2 linked regions of the Mytilus edulis genome follow. The protein of the gene in region 1 purifies or fractionates together with the protein of each later gene. This does not show direct contact. Links are inferred from orthologs where the notes say so. Each region holds a gene or a part of one and is shown on either strand. Other genes may lie near its edges.

Evidence for each region.
Region 2: the proteins of N-alpha-acetyltransferase 50-like (region 1) and N-alpha-acetyltransferase 15, NatA auxiliary subunit-like purify together in Drosophila melanogaster (affinity purification with mass spectrometry, with the first as the bait; 3 studies listed by BioGRID). This does not show direct contact. The link is inferred for Mytilus edulis from reciprocal best matches to the Drosophila melanogaster genes san and Naa15-16.

The regions. Positions count from the first base shown.
Region 1 is NC_092348.1:77,361,081-77,372,681, forward strand, and holds the start of N-alpha-acetyltransferase 50-like, read left to right. Parts: upstream 1-5,987; 5' UTR 5,988-6,085; coding exon 6,086-6,093; intron 6,094-10,161; coding exon 10,162-10,298; intron 10,299-11,601. UniProt on the Drosophila melanogaster protein: N-alpha-acetyltransferase that acetylates the N-terminus of proteins that retain their initiating methionine. Has a broad substrate specificity: able to acetylate the initiator methionine of most peptides.
Region 2 is NC_092351.1:26,354,353-26,365,448, forward strand, and holds the start of N-alpha-acetyltransferase 15, NatA auxiliary subunit-like, read left to right. Parts: upstream 1-5,807; 5' UTR 5,808-6,069; coding exon 6,070-6,126; intron 6,127-10,602; coding exon 10,603-10,687; intron 10,688-11,005; coding exon 11,006-11,096. Other genes in the region: ras-related protein Rab-33B-like, read right to left, coding at 3,898-4,362, 5,377-5,628.

The sequences.
Region 1 (11,601 bases):
TAAAAATAATTGTCGTATAAATATACGTTAGTGACACATCTCCATTAATCCCGTTAGGGAGTGTACATGGATGCCACTGTACACTCGCAGCTTTCGAGGGGTTCTTCGGATATCGGAGGCATTTACCAGTACATACATACAGTATGCTGCGGTAAAACCCGAGTACTGCTGAACGTTACACTAATCAAATCGTGAAAAACGATTATGAAATCCAAGTGATAAATGATGACAAAATTTTAATGATATATTAAACAATAAATATTCATATAAAATACATATATTAGAACATTAAAATTGGATTTGTAATATTTTCTTTGACATCTTGATGCAAATTATGTCTGCGGGGAAAAAAGGGGGAGTTTTTTTTTTTTAAATCGAAAAAATCGTAAATATCTTCTAGTTAAGGTGAATGATCGATACATCCAGGAATACTCATTATGACATACCCCAAAAATTCGTCCCATAAAACCAGATTTTTACAATGTATTCACTACGTTCTTATAATGTCGATACGACGTAACAAAACGTAACAAAATGTTACGTCGGATTATGACAGTTATAAGCACGTTGTCACAACGTAATAAAATGTTACGTCCTGACAAGGTACTAAGTTTACGTGAAGCCGACGTAATTTTATAACGTCGTCTGTACGTCTGCATCCAACGTTGGATTTTTACGTTCCCACAACGTTGGTACGACGTAAACTCACGACATGACGTTCAGACGACCATTAACCGACGTCGGGAGTACGTCGTGTGTTTACTGGGTATACTCTGTAAAATTTAAAGATTACAATGAATTACTTCTTGTTTAGTCTATTAAACTATATATTTGGTTGATAAATATCAGTTCTCTCATTATGCCGTTAGGCTTTTTTATAATCTCACGCTGACTGTGCAGAATATTGGATACCCAAAACTTTTTCTTATAATTAATACGTTTTATGTTATAAAAATACTTGGTTCATATATTTTATAGACATTTTGGGGTTTATTTTATGAAAGAAAAAACCAAGTAATACCTTTTACATAGAAGTCAGTTGCCTGGCAATTAACTATGTTCATTTTGTGTTGTTTTATTAGGAAAACACGGAGTACAAGAACGGAGAAAAGATTTTATGCTTTTGGAAGCAGGACCAGAAGTGGTATGAAGCTGATATCATAGAAAAAAGGAGTAAAGGTGGGTGTTGTCTTCAATACAACCAACTTTTAGCTCTAGACAACAAACAATACATCACCAACAGTATCAATTTACCTTTGATCGATATTCTAAGTAAAAAAAAATATTTAGAAATTAGAATACAAACGGTATTCGTTTAAGGTTGAAAATTATATAAACACTTTTTTCACCTGCATAGCCGTTAAAGTCCAATATCGTATATTATAGAATGAAATTTTCTTTGATTTAGTAACGTTATCAATTAAAAGAATCTAAATAACTTATATAATAATATCATAACTCTAAGGTATATATTTTTTACAGGATACTTTGTTAAATTTGGACTTGATGGAGTAGAGAGAGTTCTCAAGCAAAAGGACATAAAAAAGAGGAAGACTGGAAAAAGATGATACTTTTGCTGTCAAAATCCATATAAAATGTTAATAAACAAAATGTGTATATATTTATTAACTTTTGTTATATGTTTGTATTCCCCTGTTCCGAATGGAGGAGAACATGAGTTTCATTTATTTCAGAAACTTCTCTCAATTAATTTTAAAAATGTGATATCAAGCCGCATTTCATCAATTTATACACTGTCATGCACTTAAAAATTTCAATGCTCCTCAACTTTTCTTACTACTGGTTAATTCTTAATAATAATGGTTCTGTAGGAATTTTTTTGTTGCATTCTTCCCAGAAATCACACATCAAGGTCTTCGAAATTTTTAATGGTGTTTTATGTGAGCCTTATATACATCCATCACTTATCAACTTCCTGTTAACCAAATACATAAAGCTGCCCTTTTTTTCATTTTTTTAGCAGTACTTCAAAGTTCAACTGGTTAAGTTTTAAGACTCGTTAGTGTATTCCATTCTAATCTATGGATCGAAGAAAACAATTAGTAGCTCAACTTCATTAACGCTCAGATGATGTAGTATGATTGTAAATGAGACCAATCTCGCTACAAAAGACCAATTGACACAGAAATTAACAATTATAGGCCACCATACGGTCTTCAAGAATGAACTAGGTCACAAAAAATTTCAAGGAGTCTCTCAAGGTAGAAACCTTTTTAAATGAGTATCGATACTCTCAGATAGAAACCTCTTTAAATGAGTATCGATACTCTCAAAGTAGAAACCTGTTTAAATGAGTATCGATACTCTCAAGATAGAAAACCATTAATAAGAGTATCGATACTCTTAAGGTAGAAAACTGTTTAAAAAGGTATAAAACACTCAAGGTAAAAAAAAAGGAGCTGCTTTAAGAGTATCGATACATCCATGGAAGAAAACTGTTTAAAAAATTATTGGTACTCTCAACGTTGAAAACTGTCGATACTCTCAAAGTAGAAACCCGTTTTTAAGAGTATCGATACTCTCAACATGTTCAACACACTCAATGTAACCTGTTTAAAAGAATATTGATTCTCTTGAGGTAGAAAACAGTTTCAAAGAGTATCGATACTCCGTCAAAAATAAACTTATTTAAAGTGTAGATGTTAAAAAAATGCTTCTAAAATACTACTTCTCATGGACCATAAAACTTTTTTACCGGAATATTCTAAGAATGGAGGTAGACAATGCTTAATTGAGTATCGCTACTCTTGAAAATATATTTGCAAATTTTTTTTATACTCTTTAGCAAAAAGAGCTATAACCTAAGAGTGGCGATACTCTGTGGTATTATACTTGTGACGTATAGTACTAGACAGTACTCTTGAAGTCAAGACATACAGGAACCGGAAATGACAAAGAGCGTCAATACTCTTTAGATAAGACACTTATAAAGAGGAGATGTAAATTAAAGTAATCGTATTTGAGTATCACAACTCTCGTACATATAAAATGATAACTTGATGATTTTGTTTGCATTGATGATAATTTTTGTATTTACATTTCCTGTTGGACCGTGAAATTAGTACTCATTTCTAAATGAAAAAAAATCTAATACACAATGTTTCAGCACTCATTGAGTTGGAAATATCAAAACTTGACCAAAACGGGAATTATTTATTTTCCCTTTTTTATTTTTAACGTGTTATATATAGTTACAGAGCAATTAGTATACAATTAAAATACAGTACAGTATACAATTTCATATTATTCAAACATTTAGATGAATACAATATGATGCATGTTAACGCGGAAATAAACGCCAACAACAACGTTATATGTCTCTGGTCTCACAAACGTCTCTGGATGATTCGTCCCAACTCCGATTCGTATCAACCAATTCGTCCCAAGTAGAATCAGTCACGCCTCAGTCATTACAGCTGAACGGACGTGCTGGATGATCAACGACTTACTACTTTTATAGATGACAGAAACCTATCCAACGCTGTACAGTAAACGTTGTTGTTGGCGTTTATTTCCGCGTTAACATGCACCCCAAAACCCATTGTAGATGGGGGAGTGTTATGCCGATTGACGTGCGAGGGCTGTATCCTAGGTGTTAGATGATTGACCATTATTTCACTGCCCGAGTCACGGCTTTGGTCCTGATAATGCTTCCTGTCATCTTTAATACCAAGTCCAAGACTCATCTACCAGTACTCCATCATCGAGGTTAGCAGGCTGCCAAGCTGACCAGGCCCCGATTTAAAGCAGCCGTTGTGAAGGCAGTAAACAAACCAAAAAGAACTCACCAAAACCAAAATGGTGGTCTTCCAAAATGGCGTCCTCTACCGCCTGTTTCTGACCCACTGCAGAAATTATTCAAACGCTCATCTAACGCCTTGGGCACCGAGCCGACCGTGCGAGGGCTGTATAGCCAGTCAAGGTCGTTAATCACTTCCATCAAGTGCCAAGTTGCTTGGTCAATTTGTTTCCGTGAACCCGGCGGCTTTTAAGGGCATACCAGTTACAGGGGAGAGGTAATGATGACGTTGCAAACGCAAATTGTTATTTTCGCGACGTCAAACTATGAATTATTGGAAAAAGATTCAGTTTTCGACTGATTTTTATCATTCAAACTTATCTAACTTGAAAATGAAAATGTAATTCCATGTCAGATTTGCTCTAAAAGCTTTAGTTATTGAGATATAAGCCAAAAACTGCATTTGACTCCTATGTTTTTAATTTTAGCCATGTTAGCCATGTTTGTCGATGGATCAAAACTTCAGATACAATTTATAAACTAGATACCATAAGGAAAATTTAGTTAAAGTTTGAAGGTATTTGGCACAGTAGGTTCAGAGGAGGACATTTTTTAAATAGTTTATGACGACGACCACAGACGACGGACGCCAAGTGATGGCATTAGCTCGCATGGGGCCCTTTGGGGCACTATTTACATTTTCATAAAAATTGACAAAACTAGCCATTTTGTCTAAGTTGATATTTCATTTTTCAAAGCAGTTAACGCGTATATTTTAACTCATATTTCAATAATTTGCTGCCGGAGGGACACCTATGTCCAAACCGGCAGTGCCGGAGGGACACATATGTCCATGGATAAATTTATGCAAGCTTCTTATCAATGCTGTATCTCTTTCGGCAATTAAAATACAGAAGAATAAACAGGGTCATGTTTTTCTCCAATTGGTCCCAAATGTAGTGGTCATTTTGTCGTGACGTCATATATCGAATGACGTGGTTGTTTGGCATGTTACGTCACAGACGTTGAGCTGTCGTATTTTCCGGCATATGAAATGCAACCTTGAAAAACGGTCGGCAGCAAGAGGGTTAAGGGCATACCAGTTACAGGGAGAGGTAATGATGACGTTGCAAACGCAAATTGTTATTTTCGCGACGTCAAACTATGAATTATTGGAAAAAGATTCAGTGTTCGACTGATTTTTATCATTCAAACTTATCTAACTTGAAAATGAAAATGTAATTCCATGTCAGATTTGCTCTAAAAGCTTTAGTTATTGAGATATAAGCCAAAAAGTTAAACTGCATTTGATCAAAACAAAAGTTAGATACACGAAGAGTACACAATACCAAGATTCTTTTTTTATCAACTACATATCTGGGTCTTTAAGGTATAAAATGCTTCCACACATTACAAAACGGTAGCCATTTTGTCCAAACGTGTGAAAACGTCGAAAAATCCGGAAAACGCTAATTTCCGACGTCACATGTGCTAAAGTGTCAATCAGTTGATGTTTATGATAATTAAAACAAATCGTGTAGTGAAATTTGGAAAAAGATGGTTATGGCTGCCGAAAAATAAGAATAGTGCATGTTGCTAGAGACTCTGGCCAGGGACATATAAATTCGATTACATAAATAGATTACATTTGGCAATTTTTATTAATCGCTTTTATAAAGTTTATTTAAAAGAATGGTAGAATAGAGAAGAAAAAAAATCTCATTACATGAACATCGTTCAACTTTTGCAAAGACAAATTGGAGACACAAAGACAGTCCTCTAAATGTAAAATGCGAATTTCAATTTATGTTGCGGAAGTACTCCGAAATAGATCATTTAAAGTCGTCCCAATTTTCCTTCCTACATTACTTGTGACAGTTTTGAATTTTTAGGTTAAATAACTTAAAGGGTACTGTAATTATTATTAAATCGATTTCCACAACTTGAGGTAAATCACAAAAACAACAGAACCAGAATCAACCAACAACATATAAAAACCCGAAATTGGAATAAAACTTGCAAAAATTAATCGAAGTAAAAAAAAAGTCTTTGACGCCTCATTTTTAGTGTAACGTCGTGTTGTAGGAACATCGTGGATAACGTTTTTACAAATGAAAAGTCATGGAATACTGACGCTCTTTTAACAAACCGGAAAGTTTTCTGGCTTATAACGTACTTGTTTTTATTGTACTTGTGTTTATTCCAATCAAAACAGCATTTAATTTTACCCAATTAAGGGACCGATTCAAAACAATTTTTGTTTATTTCCGGTTTTGGAGCGGGAACACATGTGAGCAGTTAGTTGATGTTAATCAAGTGTTTACAATGACAAGGTGCATATTTGTGATCTTTACTTTGAGTAGTGTATTTATTATTGCTGCCAATTGTACACCAAGTGTGCACTGAAATCGATTGTTGGATCAATATCATTCGTAACCCCCTTTTTATCTAGCCCAGGCCTGTTTTATTTTATTATTCTACTCATAGGCACTTGTTTCCATCAATGGAAAGATCGACTATCTATATATTTATATAAATCCACCTTCCCGTGGATAGAAACAGGTGCCTGTAGACTGTAGTACAACTTACCAGGAACATATATTTTGACCGGATTTGACACAACCAAATAATTTGTATCGGACTTAATTGTCCGGTAATAGTGGAGGGGGGTATCTGCAAGGAAGAATGCGATATAAAATTGCTATTTCACGATGAACGAATAATTAAAAAAATGGCTTGTACATTGATCTTATTACCAATTTCACGAAAACACGGTGAATAACGTACCTTATTCATGGCTGCATGTGAAATGGCAAAACACCTTGCACGAAAATAACCTTTACCACCCTCATAAATGAATGAAGACGTGTGTAAAATACACTATCGCTTAATAATTTCTAATAGGGCTCTTCACAGTTAGTTCAGCCATATTGGATAGGCCATTAGGGGGCAGATTTTTTAGAAAGAGGTGGAAATAGTATGAAAGTATGGGAAATGCTATGCATGTTTCCAAGCAACAGCTCTGTTTTAATGATGTTTTCCCGTATTTTTCACAGTAAATCTGTCAAATGTTGGAATAAGTATAGATTATAACATGCCCTTTTCCATATTGGCCCTGGTATTACCCCATATCAGTCTCCAGGCTTTAGCCGAGGGCCGATATGGGTCGAGGGATGATACCAGGGCAGTGTTCTCCCCTGGTCGTTTTAGCACCGCGATTTTCAGCGCTATCACAATTCCTGCTGTTCTATTGCAAAGACCGCAGCGCTATCCAAAGCAAGCGCAACACTATATATTTTTTTGTAATTTTTTCAAAATTCCCGCTTATTTTTCACTTCGGATCACGTGTCGACTGGTTTACTATTTCTGAGTGAATTATATCCGCTGTATTAAGTAACTCAGCGGGAATAGTCAAATAAATTTACAAAATGGCGTATTTGACAGATCAAAATAAACCAAGATTTCATCAATGACATCTATTGTTTTTATTTAAAGAATATACAGAGGCATTTATGCATGATATATGCATGAAATGAGATGATATAAATTGACCGCATTTCCCCACGACACTCATAAACTTGTTTTACAAACTTTGAACAAACGATGATTTTAAAAACGATCAAACACAGGGGTTTGTTACAATTTGCCAGGCTTACTATCCATACGAACCCCAAAAATGAACAAGTCTTTTGAAGTATTAATTATCACCTATTCGAACTAATAATTGTTCATTCACGATTCTACATTAATGAATTTTACCATTTGAAAACGATCAGAAAAACAAACCCTAAGCTGATACTTTCTCGAGATCCAGCTTGGATGAAGCCATTTGAATAAAACGTTTAGGTCAGAAAAATGAGAAATCATGATGTTAAAAAATGTCAATTCCTGTCAACAGGTCAAACGTCGTAAGGTTGACAGTACTTGTCAGAAAACTGGAGTCACTGCTACAGTGGGTTTCAAAACCAAACACAAGAGGCTGACAATGACTGTATTGTTGGTCCGACATGTTCTGCAACATCACCTGTTAGTGCTTAGAAATCTTCACATAGGCAGTCTGGTATAGACCCATCATGGAAAAAGACTTCTCCTTGGGATTTATGCACAGATAATATGAGGATTATATGAATTTACAATGGAGAAAAAAAACTCTTCTTCTATATTAACAAACAAAGGGGTAACTTCAATGAGCATGATGAGGACATCATTACAAGAGAAAAAAAATCAATGGCATAATATAAGAAAAACAAATAACAAATCAATTACAAACAAACAGCGCGCCGTGACAAAGTTACTGAGAATTGTCGAAAATTACGCACTTACCACAGCGCTATCCAAAAATCTTGGGAAGAACACTGACCAGGGCCAATATGGAAAAGACATGTTATAATATAAATCACATATTTAAGTTTTGCAGAAAAGAGAAAAAAATATTAATTATAACAATTTAATGAAACAACAGGTAAATCTTCTTTTTTTTTTTTTTTTTATCACAGAAGCAATTAAAAAGTCGTTAAGGATGCAATGACGTTATGTCATTTGGAATCAGGGCACAATAACCAATATACTCTTTTTTTGCCCTCAGCAATTTTGAGGTTATTATATCAGTGATATTGTTAGCCTCAAATTACCCCCGATATTCGCTTTTTCCCCTAGAGAAATTCCCAATTACAAAATAAAATGGCTTAAAATTCCTCCCAATAAGTTGTACATTTTTCCCAAACAGTGATGGCATCGGTAGTAATGATATGTAAATTTCGTATTCATGTTATTATTTTGATATAATGAAAACGTTTTTGAGATCAGGGATTCTGATTTGAATCATCGGGATGTTTGTAACATGCATGGTTTCAATGTATTAAATACTGTCATTGTATTTGTTTCTTTCCCCTCCCCCAAATGTTCTTTCCGGTTAAATATGTCTAAAAATTTCCCAATTTCCCCAAAAAACGATGCACTTCTCCCCCCCCCCCCCCCCCCCAAAAAAAAGGTAGGTTTGAAAAAAGACAACAATATCACTGTATATATGCAAAACCCAACATACAATGTATTTGTAACAAATATGTGATAATACAATTTACAAAATCATTAAACAGGTTGGGGACAACTAGACAAATTGGAAAAACCTGTTAAATTGAATTCAGCACCATTTCCCTGGTCATCTAAGAAAGATAGTACATCAGTGGTCTCGCTAGCCCAAAATAGAAGGGCGCCGTGCCCTGGGTGCCTTCATCCGTGCCCTTCTGCCCTGACGTCTTTTTCCAAAATTATCTTGTGCCGTTTTGGTAAAATTTTGTTTCATCGATTTCTGATCTCCAAGTTAATTACATATATGACACCTGTGTGATTGCCCCCAGGTTAATCATGTCATTACACTCAATTACAATGATAAAGACTTCAAAGGTGTTAATAACTAGGTAATTTAATTAGGACAATGTATCTTTTTGTCATACTTTTGATGAATGTGTCAGCGAGTGTGTTTAGCTTGGGTCGGCATTTTCGATCTCCAAGTCACAATGGAAGAGCATATATAAGTGAAGACTTTCCTGACTTTAGAATTGAATTTAAGTCAGCAAAATAAAACTATGCCTTTACAGAAATGCCTTCCATCTCAACTTGTTAGCGACAAGCACAGTTTTTAGTTAACCCAAACGTGGTGGAAATTGATTTTGGAGTTACTTCCCCTGTTTTAGCTTATTACAAATTTGTGCTCTTAAAATATTATCTAGTATCAAAAATAGGAATAAATTACCAATTGAATATATAATAACATAATAATGTTACCTTAAAGATATTAACTGTCTTTGAACATATTAAAAAATATATATTGCAATTTCTACTTGATAATTATACTTTTAGCAATCCATGTTCTAAACATTGTTAAATTAGTAATGCTCTCAGTTACAGATCATACAGACCGTGCAAGGGCTGTATAGCCAGTCAAGGTCGTTAAAAACTTCCATTTGTTGTTACAGATCATATGATGCATTAAAAGCTATAATTCCTATAAAGAAAAAAAAACCCACATATTCTTTGATAATGGGTAGAGTGAAGTTAAACTGTAAAAACATAATATGTTGATGAAGATGTCATGGATGTAATATATCATTCATAACTACACAAACAATGAAATAAAGACTATAGTTGAAAAGCATCTTTATTTAAAAAAAACAACATATACAGTAAAAAAAAAAAAGAGATTCGTTAACTCGTGATACACACAGAAATGTAGACAAAAAAATGAGCAGTGCCTTTTCTTATCATAAAAAGTGCCCTGCCCTCCACTGGCACCCTGCCCCTTTTGATTTCTAGCTAGAGCACTGGTACATGTATGTGACTTTTTATGATACATGTATGATGCAGCTGAGGTTATATAAGTTGATTATGTCTATTCTTTTCAGAGGTCATACAGAACTAGGGGACATAACTCCTCATAACATCAAGCAGCTAAAGTTGTTGAATCAAGTGGTGTTCCCTGTGACTTACAATGATAAGTTCTATAAAGATGTATTAGAAGTTGGAGAGCTAGCAAAACTTGGTATGTTTATAACAGTAGAATAACAATGATACATGTATATATAGATTCTACCACTGCATCGAGTGTGATACAATATTCATCCACTCAAGACAGTTAAATTTTCAAATTTTAAATGTAAGGCTTGTCAAGTGTTTTAACATGTTTAAATATTTAAAATTTAACTGTCGAGAGTGGATAAATATCGTATTACAAAGAGAATTGGTGGTGGAATCTGTTTCTCTAATGATTTTCTAACAATATGCAGGCAAACTAATTCCTTCTTTTCAAATAATCTGCAAAAAGTTGTGTTCTTTTAGTGTGACATAATCAGGCATGGTCGCCTCTTTTCATGCTGTCACAATAGTAAATTCAGAGGAAAGCAAGAAAATTCAATGTCATAATCAGATTTAAACTAATGAACATGATGAAGTACTGAGATCAAACAAACTGCACGTTGATTAATTTTTTTTAAACAATGGGGATCAATGACACAGAAATAAACCACTGCCATGACTGTAGGTCACTGCAATGTCTTAAACAATGAGCAAAGCCCATACTTTTTAAGGTCTATAAAGATATTCTAGAGGTTACAGAAAGTTCAAAATCATCAATTGACTCCCTGTAAATTACAAATGCAAGTTTAGATGCTTTCTTGAAAACTATCAAAAGGGGGGGGGGGGACAATAGGGGGTCCGTTAAAATGTTAACAAATTTTAAATGCTGATAACAGTTAACACCAACTTCAATCAACCCTTTTTTCTAAAATCAAAGCTAAAGCTATGAAAAGGGGGAAATGTACACATTCAATGTGTTCAGAACCACTGTAGAAAGTCGCAGAAATCCCAAGCTCTTAAGGAATCTTTGATAAAGCTGATCAAGTTTCAGAAAACAGCAAACTTGGGTAATCATGTGATGTAGGAAAGTGAGACAGACAGATGGACAGAGTGATTACAACCAATTTTAAAGCTTAAACATCTTTTAAATCCTGAATCTGAGCTATTGACAGAAGTTGGTGACTTTAAATGTATAAAGCAATCTTTAGAATTTAAAAAAAATGAGGTCCATATCCATCAAAGGTTACAATTCCATTATAACTATGTTTTTATGTTTACATTTGTAGTTCTTCACTTTCTGTGTTATGTATATGTTTATATTTGTGTTTACTTGACCCATATGGGTGTATTTGCAAATAAAATTATCATTAACTATAGGAACTATATGGCATGGTGTAGTGGTTAGTGCATTGAACTACTAACATAAAGGTTCCTGGTTTGATTTCCGTTCCGGGATGAAAATTTCAGGGACTGAATGTTCGGCTGTCCCT
Region 2 (11,096 bases), on another chromosome or scaffold:
CAGGATAAAAAATACTAAAAAGGAATTGGCGGACTCACTTCCCTTCTCAATGCCCACTTGTTATGTTCATGCTAGAATAGAATACAGTGCTTAATTTTCACATTATAAAAACAAATTTACATGATACATGTAATGCAAAACACAGGAAAAGAAGTGTTCACACTTGAACACTTTAACAGGCAAATTAAAAATAAACATTACAATGTTCTTACACATGTTACATTGTCATCAACAGTTAGTTCAAATATATGCAATATATAGAAATATATAGAAAAGTTAATGTGGGGTATACAGCAATGACAGACTAACCCAACATGACACACATAATCAAAGGGCTTGTGAGCTCTGAAGGATAAAGATTACATTCATTTTGTATTGGGAAGTTATACTCAACATTGGCAGGCAATGAATTGTCCAACTAAAATTATGGACAAAGGAAGATAACTCCAATTTTAAATACTACATTATGCACCATGCACAATATAAGTATTTTTTTTATGAGTATGGTTCAACTCAATCACATATTTTTTTAACTTGAATATCAGATTATATATTTTATTTGGTTGATTTAAATGTTTTTTGGGAATGATGTTAAACGAATGTAGGACAGAAAGTCACAGGACAACAAGTCACAGACAAAAAGTCACAGGACAAAAAGTCAATTCATTTTTTCTAATTATTTTCTTTGAGTAAAAAACGCTTATTTTCTACAAAAATATTTTTGTATTTTTCTTGAACTATTGTATACAAACCAACTTTGTAAACAAAATTTATCAAATAATATCAAAATTGATCAAATAATTGTTAAAAAAACAAAATGTCAAAGTGGCTTGGCAGTTAATCAATCGGCTTCATGGTGCCAAGAAAGGGCAGAATCAATTTGCGCCAATTGCAGTTTTGAAAAGGTATTAATTGTGCCACTCTCTTTTATTTTGATGGTATTAATTGCGCCAATAAATGAAATGGAATTGCGCCACATTTACCTGTTAATATGTTTTACCTAAATCAAGACAAGACAAGACAAATACTTTATTAAAGTCTCGCCACTTGTTACATATAAAATATACAGCTTTTTAAAATACAAGTTAACAAGAGCCACTCTATAAAGAGTTTTGAGAGACTATAAAACAATTTTTCTTAAAATTATAATGCAAATACAAGTCAACTGTCACGAGTATAAAATACATTTTCGCTTTATTCAAATTTCATAGCAGGTTTTGGCAGTATAAAATACCATATTTTCATTTTTAAAAAGAAATATAATTTTTTCATTATCAGTGTCCAGAAATCAGAACGTCAATTTTTCAGAACTGCGTGTAAAAGAAAAGCAACCAATGTGTTGTCAGAGCCACCTTCAAAAATAATAAATTCAGAGATCTTCAAAATTGAAGAAGAGAATTTAGAAAAGAAAGATTTAAAATATGTGTGTCAGTCTGTGTATAGAGAGAGAAGAAAACTGCGTCCGGCTTAATCTAAAAATCGAGCAGAATTTCACAGAATATTGGATGATATTGGTATTGTTACAAACAAAGATGATGAGTTTGTATTGTGTAACGATCCAGCAAGCGGTATAATTTTATAAGGATGCAAGGCTAATTTGAAATTTCAGTGTACAATGTCAGAGGAATTTTTTGCTGTTGGTACCTAGTCAATAATTTAGTTGTTATATATAAATAAAAAAATATAAAATTGGCGCAATTAGATGATTATTTTATTGGCGCAAATGATACCTATAGTTTTGAAAATTAGGTGGCGCAAAAGAGGTATTGGCGCAATTAAGTTGTGGCGCAAATGAGTTACTTTTTGGCGCAAAAAGATATCGCCCCCAAGAAATATATCCTTTGCATGATTAGAATTATATAAATCTTCATTTTTCAAGTATAATGACATATTTCCTAAACATTAATATGAATATATGTATTAAAAAGTAAATAGTTCAAGATATTTCTCTTATATATTAAAACAATTGTCAACATACTATTTGTGACTTTTTGTCCTGCGACTTTTTGTCCTATCAAAACTGTGACTTTCTGTCTGTTTACCATGTTAAACACCCCTAGTAGTGGAAAGAACATGTTGTGCTCAATGCACTATGTTTTGTTAATGTCAAAATAGTGATTAAGTCTGGAAAATTCATTTAGTGTTTTTGATTGTATGAATATAATCTTTACCTTCAAAATAAAGCATGTCTATATTTCAAAATATATATGTATATGTGTAAATGTGACCTTTAGCATTTTAGTTATTTTTTAGACGGTTTTCGTAAAAAACGAAAGTGGCCACATTCGTGTTCATCCTTAATATTGAAATGTAAGTTGTATTTGATGATAGTACATAACATATATAAAGGTTGAGGATGAACACGGATGTGGCCACTTTCATTTTTGACAAAAACCATCTGAAAAGTGACATTTTTTGGCATATTTGGTAGATTTTTCATATTTGAGCTAGAATCGAATCATTTTTAATGAATAAATCAGTTAAAATCTTTCACATAAACTAATTGAATCAAATGAAATGGCCACTTAAGTGTTTGAAAAGTGGTCAAAATCTTTCGTCAGATGAACCTGAAATTTGAGCCAAAATCGGTTCTTACCGGACCTATTCCTTTATATAAAGAAACTATGACTTGCAGTTGTTGAGAAAAATGATGAAAATTTCAAATATGTGCATCACATTATAAAGATATAAAAACAGGTATTCAAGTACATAATTTTTCAGCATCTATTTTTTTTTTTAATAGTAAAATACAAACCTTATTCTTAAAACTTAATTTATTTTGCCACAAAAATCTGTGTTCTACAAAAATCGGGTACTTAAAATCTACACTGTGTTGAACGCCACATGCGGGGTGTTGGCTATGCTTGATGCAGGGTGGCAGTTTTGAAGCAAAGAAAAAGGATCAAGGCAAGTTCAAGTATAAAAGTTTCTTTTTTGAAAATTCTTAGTAACAAATAATGTATTACATGGAAGGAACCCAACCAAGCAAGAAGCAGACGTTTATAGTGCTCTGGTTTCTCAAACATCTCTCCCTAGTTTTACGTGTTGCGGATTTTTCGGCTTCATTTGCAAGTTTCTTGATAAAAAAGTACTATTGACGAATTTTTCCGGTATAATTTGTATAGAAATGAATTCCTATCAAGGTGAAATCTATAAAACTCATAAAGAAAACCCAAAATGTGATTTTATTTTTGTCTTTGGAATGTTAAACATAATCGAAGAGAAGATACATTTACTCCTTCGTTTAACTGTAATGGGTAATTGTATTAATATAAAGTAAATACAATAAACATGTTATGCATGATTGAACATATGACAAAAATTAAACGAAATGTTGATAGTCTATCAAAATACAACACTAGAAAAAATATATCTTCTTTCCAGTGTGAAGACTAGAGAAATACTTTGTAGAACTAAAGTGGTCAGATTTCTTAAACATTAGTTCAATAACAAAACATAAGGGTATTCAAACTGCAGTGAAACAATCTATACTATACATTGATGAAAAAGAAAACAACTTAAAATACCAACATATCTTTTAAAATACCTATATTTATCAGAGATCAACTTTCCTTCATATGTATCAAAGGGAAGACAACTGTAATTTTCTGGATTTTTTCCTGAAGGCTGATCTGAAGGTAGACAAGTAAGTAACTCTTCAAATCTTTCAGTTTGAAAGTGAGTACCGGTAAAGAAGTTGATAGGTATAAAGATGGGGTTTGTCCATATATATGTCACGCTTTAAATGCCTTTCATCAACAATGATTTTTATTGATATTGTCCAAGTTTAAAAAAAATTTCAATAAAGAAAAACAGTCTATAAATATAAAGCAATCCCATCATTTTATGTTGTCAATAATATAATAAATAATTAAATGATCACTAAAACAACTGACTTTAACAAAAACATTGATCTTTTTCACTGGCCTTCTTATCCTGTAGCGAGATAACTTGAACATTACTTGGTAAATTTGTTGGAGCAATGAAAGGTGTCATCATGGGTTTGGAGTTTTTCAGCTTATGAGCCAGTGTCATAAAGATGGCTTCAACATGATTGGCCTTTTCATCATCCTTTGCAGAAGTTTCAAATAAAGGCATACTATGCGAGTCTGCAAATTTCTGAGCTAAATTTGTATTTATAGCAACCTTAGCCGTCATATCACACTTGTTACCCACTAGAATTCTCGGTATTTCCTGATTCAGGTTATGACGATCACATTCTTCTATCCAAGATGGCATACTCTCAAATGAACTCATTTTTGTGACATCATAAACAAAGACAACAGCATGGACATTTCTGTAATAGTGTTGTACCATAGATTTACGGAATCTTTCTTGACCAGCCGTATCCCAAAGTTGTAGCTAAAATAACAAAGAAAGTATTTAAAACATACAATGTAAAATCTTGTTTTTATAAAATGGCACAGATTTAATTCAGAGTTAAAATAAAGGTTATGTCAATTATAGACAAAAGCCCCAACAAGGAGTAAATTGACCGTTTTCACTACTTAATTTTTTTGTCAGGTGTGGATCCAGCATTTGATAAAAAAGGGAGACCTGGAAGACAAACATTTGGTGTGAATCTTGTAATCAAAGTTCTTGTTAGCACTGAACGGTAAAGATTGCTTCAATTTTTATCAGTGAGAAGTAAAATTAATTATTGCATTGGTTGTAGTTGATTTAACAGCAAAACTGAACAAAGGAAGATAACTTCATTTTTTTTTAACAATGACATCATTCTATATTTAGAACAGATATTAGATTCCTGGGGTCGATTTCACAAAGAAACTCACGATTAAGATTGGTCGTAAGTATACTGATTTATTCATGACTTAAGACCAATCTTAGTCTTAAGTTTTTTTTGTGAAACTGACTCCAGCACCTTGCAAAAGTAATTTTCTTCTTAGGTTGCCGAGTTATGTTACCTGATGTCAGTTAAATGGGGAATATTGGCTGCCATTTAGCACAAATTAACTTGCCTTTTATCCCTCATTTATATTAACCATATATGCTAAATGAATGATAGTGTTCTATTTCTGAACACAGAAATCTTTTCAAAAAAATGTTGTCATAAGCAAAAAATATCTTAGATTTCAAATTCTCCAAGATACTGGAAGGGACCAGTTAATCATCCCTTTGGAATCTAAATGTCTATGGGAAGTTTTATTGTTTGTATCCAAAATTGTAAATATTAGTCACATCATTGACATTAGTTAACATATCAAATATCCATTGTTTATGGCATTTTAAACCAATCACAATGTTTTGGTGTAGACTTTTTGAAAATATTACCAAAAAGACATTAGATTCTGAAACAGCGAAATTATAGGTAACTGAACTTGAAGGATATGTCATTTCTCATTTATTGTTATTTACTTTAATTTGTTCCTTGTCAACTTCTACCATTCGCTCTCTAAAGTCAACACCAATAGTTGCTTCTGTTTTATCTGGAAATTTTCCACAGCAAAATCTGTATGTCAAACATGTTTTACCAACATTAGAGTCTCCTATAACAATGATTTTGAAAATTCTCTTTTGTGCTTGTTTTTCAATAACTGTAACAGATGATTCAAATTGTTCTTCGTGTGTATTGTCAACAGCCTTAGAGTTTGATAATGGTTCCATCATGTTGCAATGGTTATTTAATCATGTGTGTAACATATTATATATATTGGAAAATTGTATATTTCATTGTTTTGTTACTGTTTTCCTTAATTTTTGACACATTCCAATTATTCGTCGTAGCTTCTTCAATGTCAAATAAAAGCTTGAAAATTGTATTGAATATTCCTTAACAAAAGCGTTTTACTGATTTTTACGATATCATTTTCCATGCTCCTTTCCTTTTAAAATATTTGACATTAGAGACTAATTTATTTCTAAAATTTGACTTAATATAACATTTTAGTACATTATTTTCTTCTATTCAAGCATCGAAATCTCAATAACGAAACAGCGAGAACACCGGAAATATTGCTTCCTCCATGTTGGATAGCATCCTCGTGGTTGTGTATCCTGTTTCCTATGGAAATAGCTGGTTATAAAGCAAACACAGAACCCTAGAGCAAAATGCCCACTAACAATCCACTACCTCCTAAAGAAAATGCCCTTTTTAAAAGAATATTGGTGAGTGAGTTTGCACATTTCACAAAAAGGGGGGAAGTTACCAAGGCCAAGGGGCCAATCAAGAAATTTAAGAATGTGATATTTAAAGAAAGACAAATATTTCTCTGACATTAGAATAAAACCTCAACAGACTAACCTAAGTTTGAGCATCAGGAATTCCCTTAAAAAACTTGAGGGGAACTGGTGTTGTTGCTTACTTGTCTAGTTTTTTAACAGGTTTTGTTCCATCACAGGTCATCTTGCTACACAAGTGTTGCTCATGGCAAGTTGTAATTCAGGGATTGAAGAGCCCCTGCTAAATATCCCATGCAATTTTTTTGTGCATTATGATTTTGCATGTTTATGATGCCAGGAATATTTTGAACAAGGATTGAAAAAAGATGTAGACCGTAACAATGTATGAAGAATGATTAATCTATATAGAGGGACTCATTATGTAGAAATCCATGATATCTCTGCCTATATAAAAATCGGACTATAACAAAATCAAAATTCAATGGAACATGTTGCCACAAGTTGTGGTAGCAAGTCAAATATAAAATTGAGAAAGTCAAACCATTGAAATTTACAGAGATCAGTTGACACCAACTGTTCTCCACAACATAATTTAATTCTATAAATAACAATGTACATATTTTTTAATCACTTGTTGTTTTCTTTCATGTAAATATCACCAAGTATTCTACTATAAAGTTAAAGATAAATTTTTGTTCATATTTTTTAATCATATACTCCGCGCATGCAACAGTTCGTAATCTTCAATAATAATGAAGCTGAAACTGTATATCAGAAGAAGAAGAAGAGACTATAACAAGCTTGGCCTATAAGATAATCGGCCTCCCAAAATCAGACTATAACCAACTCGGACTACTAGCTAGAAGAAAATAAGTATAATGTTGGTTGTTGTTATTGGAAATTAATTCTCAATTCTTAATTTAAAATGAATTGTTATCTACAATTAATTAAATAATATTATATGCATATGTTAATTAATTATGACATCATGTCACATGTATCGTTGACACCTTTTTAATCACCATCATTTAAACAAACAACTGGCACATGTACTGTTGACACCTATCTAATCACCCAAGTCAGGACAAAACTACCTGTTGTTGCACGAAATTGAAAACTATAAATCCAACTTAATATGTCTTGTATTGTCTATAACTGAACTTCAGTTTTTTTTATTACATAACTTGTGTTATATTAAGACAATTTAGTGAATTTTAGTTTTTCTGGTTTCTGATCATATTTTGTATGGTGGACTCTTGGTGTGATTTATCTGTACAATGTAATACTATTTAATGAAGAACACATAGGGTTTACAAATATTATTTCAGTAGATGTCGACAAACAATTAACATAACAATGATTTCGTCATTCAACAATATCTAATATTACTTACAAAAAATATAAGGCATATATAAAACACATACATGACATAAAGCACATTTTAAACTCAAAAGGCATTTTGTCATCATCTAAGACTGAAAGCATGCAGATATAATTGGTCATTGTCAAAGCACACTTTAAGCATACATAGCACATTTAAAACACTAACATAGCACATACAAAACATACATATAGCACATCTGAGTCATATCTAAGATAACATGAAAAATGAATGTTGTTAAGGCAAAAGCACGAGTATAAACATAGGCTGGAGTATTTAACAGCTAGTCATTTGGATTTTTTTTTCATGTTATTTTATAGAAGTATTAATTGGTAAGATCAAAGAAATCTCTTGTTTTTTTTCAATTTTACTCCAAATATATTTCTAGATACATGTGACACTTTAATAAACAAATTTATATACATGTATAATAAATGTTTGCCTCAGCTTGCCTTTCTAAAAACATTGTATCTGTTTGATGTGACCATTTGAATATAATTACCTTTCAATTGCTGAATCCATTAGTAAAGAACTACAGATTAGTGAAATTGTTAAGAAGCCATTCACTGTCAATCAAATTTCTCTTTGTTTATATACTAATCATAAACACCTAGGATTAAACACAATAAAAACATGAACACACACCAATCATTAAAATATCTTTTGTCAATAATCATAATAAATCACAATGATATTTCCAATAGAAGTTAATTGTCCTCATTTAAACACCAATTCAACTCGTATATTAAATATTTTATACATTTCTATATATATGGTCTTTTTTTTCAAAAATATTCTTTACAATCTCATAAATTCGTCTATAATTTTAATATATAAAGGTTTTTTTTATTAAAGTAAAAAAATAACAATCTACTAATCGTAGTCTGAGTTTGTTCAATATATTTCTGCATATAAATAATGGTAGGCCGAGTTTGTTATAGTCCCGAGTTTGTTATGGGCCGATTTTGTTTCAGTCCGAGTTATCCAGCAGCGATTATGTAGATGGGAATCTTCATACACTGGAACAGGTCTGGAAATCCATTAATTAAATTTTTTTTTCAGTTCATTTTTTTTCTTTATTATTACATCAAAACGGCCACTTTAATACAATATATATTTAAGTACTAAAGGAGAAACTACATTAGTGATTATAATTTTACAAGTTACCAAGTCATCACATCAAATATTGAAGATTATCATTAATTAGTCTAATATACCCCTATTCACTTGCTACCTGAGGTCTTCAAGATAAATGATTGTGATATGTTAGTTTTATTTATATTGTATATTTTCTGTAATGACATTAGGGATTCGGTGTCAGAAGAAAGTTTCTGATTTTGCTGAACAATGAAAATTGTATATGTACATGTGAGTGCACTAAAAAGACCGAACTAACAGATACCAGTTATTTTTATGGGGAATTTTACTGAAAATCAAAGGTGCCATATATAAACTCCTCCCTGGAGTTTCTTTAAAGGGAAGGCAGATGTCTAGGGCAACATAATTGTTAGCCTTCGTAGATTTTACTGTAAATTAACTACCTTTCGTGGATACTTTAATTTGCGTTTAGCCTTTACTTGACCATTTTGTGGCATTAATACTACCTTATAAATTGCTCTAAAAAATTAGCTGGTTAACATCTGACATCCGTTGGAAGACACTTATTTTATTATGGCTACTGCCTGGTATAAGGACACTAAATTTTAAAACATCACAAGATACATATTCTCACATGTTTCCTTACCTGTAAATATACAATACAGACAGGATTCTACTTCGTCTAAATTATCTTCCTATTACACCAGTTCATTTTCACAATCGTAGAAACGGAAGACAATTTTTTTTTTCAGAGATCCAACTTAAAGACTGTCGTCAAGCACTTTTAGTAAAATAGCTATTCGAACACACCTACTCTGATTTTGTGATCCATTGGATAGGTATTTCACTTGACCCTATATTTCATCTTTTAGTACTGTGATTTTTTTTTATGTTATAAAGTCAACCTGTAGCTTTGCTATATAAAATGATAGCGAGATGGTGCATCAAATACTCTTGTTTTGTACATTTTCAAGACAAAATATTCATCTCAAACACACCCTAACATAAAAAAAAGGTGCACTCGATTTTCTCTTTTCGATACAATTGTTTCCCATTTTGGAATATTTTCTTGAGTTGCATAATCGAAGGAAAGGCATGGAAATTACTGACTGAACTAATAGATTGATATGTTATAAAAACAATATTAGGTCAATTAATGTTGAAGGCCAGTTTCTCAGCCTCATACAAGAAAAAAGTTTATATTTTTCTTTCATTGACAAATTATTGTATTTTTACAGGTGAGAAAACATGTGAGAATATTTGTCATGTGATGTTCTAAAATTAAGTGTCCTTAACCTCAGACATAACGTCCAATACAATCTAAGTATGATGTATACAAGCTGAAGCCCCACCTATCTTAATTACCATGCTTGAGCAAACACTGATACAAACAAAGCAAGCAAGCCAAACAAAGATTTGTCTTGCTAGCATTAATGTAAAAGCTGTAAAAGTAGGACTTGACTGGCAATAGTGGGTCCTAGAATCTTGGTTAAGATTTTCTGAATTGTTAGACAGGCCTTTTGTTTTGTACATTAATTTGGCGGTTAGTTTTCTTGTCAGAATAATTTCACCTTTGTGATTTGAGGTCCTTTTATAGCTTACTATGCAGTTTGGGCTTTGCTCATTGATTAAGATTATACAGCAGGTTCCTTGAAATCTTTTTTTCCCTGTTAGTCCTTGAAGAAAAACTGTTCGACCTCACTACTATTTCTATTACAAAATACCAAAATTGTGTCGGTCTTTTTCAAATTTTGGTGGTCAAATCCTCGGACCACACTTTTTTGAGAACTCTGGTCTGGTGAAATACAGCTGTTAATCTCTTTGTGACTATGTCATTTGGTGTTTTGTTGAGAAGTGTTTCACTGGCAATCATACCACATCTTTTTTCTTAAACTTTTAAAAGATATATTGAGAACTATTCAGATTAGCTGAAAATAAATTAAATTCATTATAATCCATAATATTGTTTTGTTTTTTTGTAGAAATGTTATGAACAGAAACAGTACAAAAATGGGTTGAAGTTTGCTAAACAGATTTTAAGCAATCCTAAATTTAATGAACATGGAGGTAATATATTTGTAGTGTATTAAATGAAGTGTCTGATATCACATATAATATTTTGCTATGCCCCACCCTCAAACAGTGTCCTATGAAAAATAGGATTAGTCTGGTGTCTTTGTCATTTAGATGGGGACTAGGTTGTAAGCTGTCATCCCCAACAGGTCCCTTTTGGTCAATATATAGATTTTAGAAAATAACAATAATGAGAATTAATCATCTTGAATATTTTGCTTGAGGGATACCATTAACCTCTTTCACTGAAAAATATTTAAATTGATATAAAGATTTTATGATATGATAAGGAATTACATATTTTCATTCCAGAAACTTTGGCCATGAAAGGACTGACTCTTAATTGCCTTGGGAGGAAAGAAGAAGCATTAGACCATGTAAAGAGAGGTTTACGTAATGACCT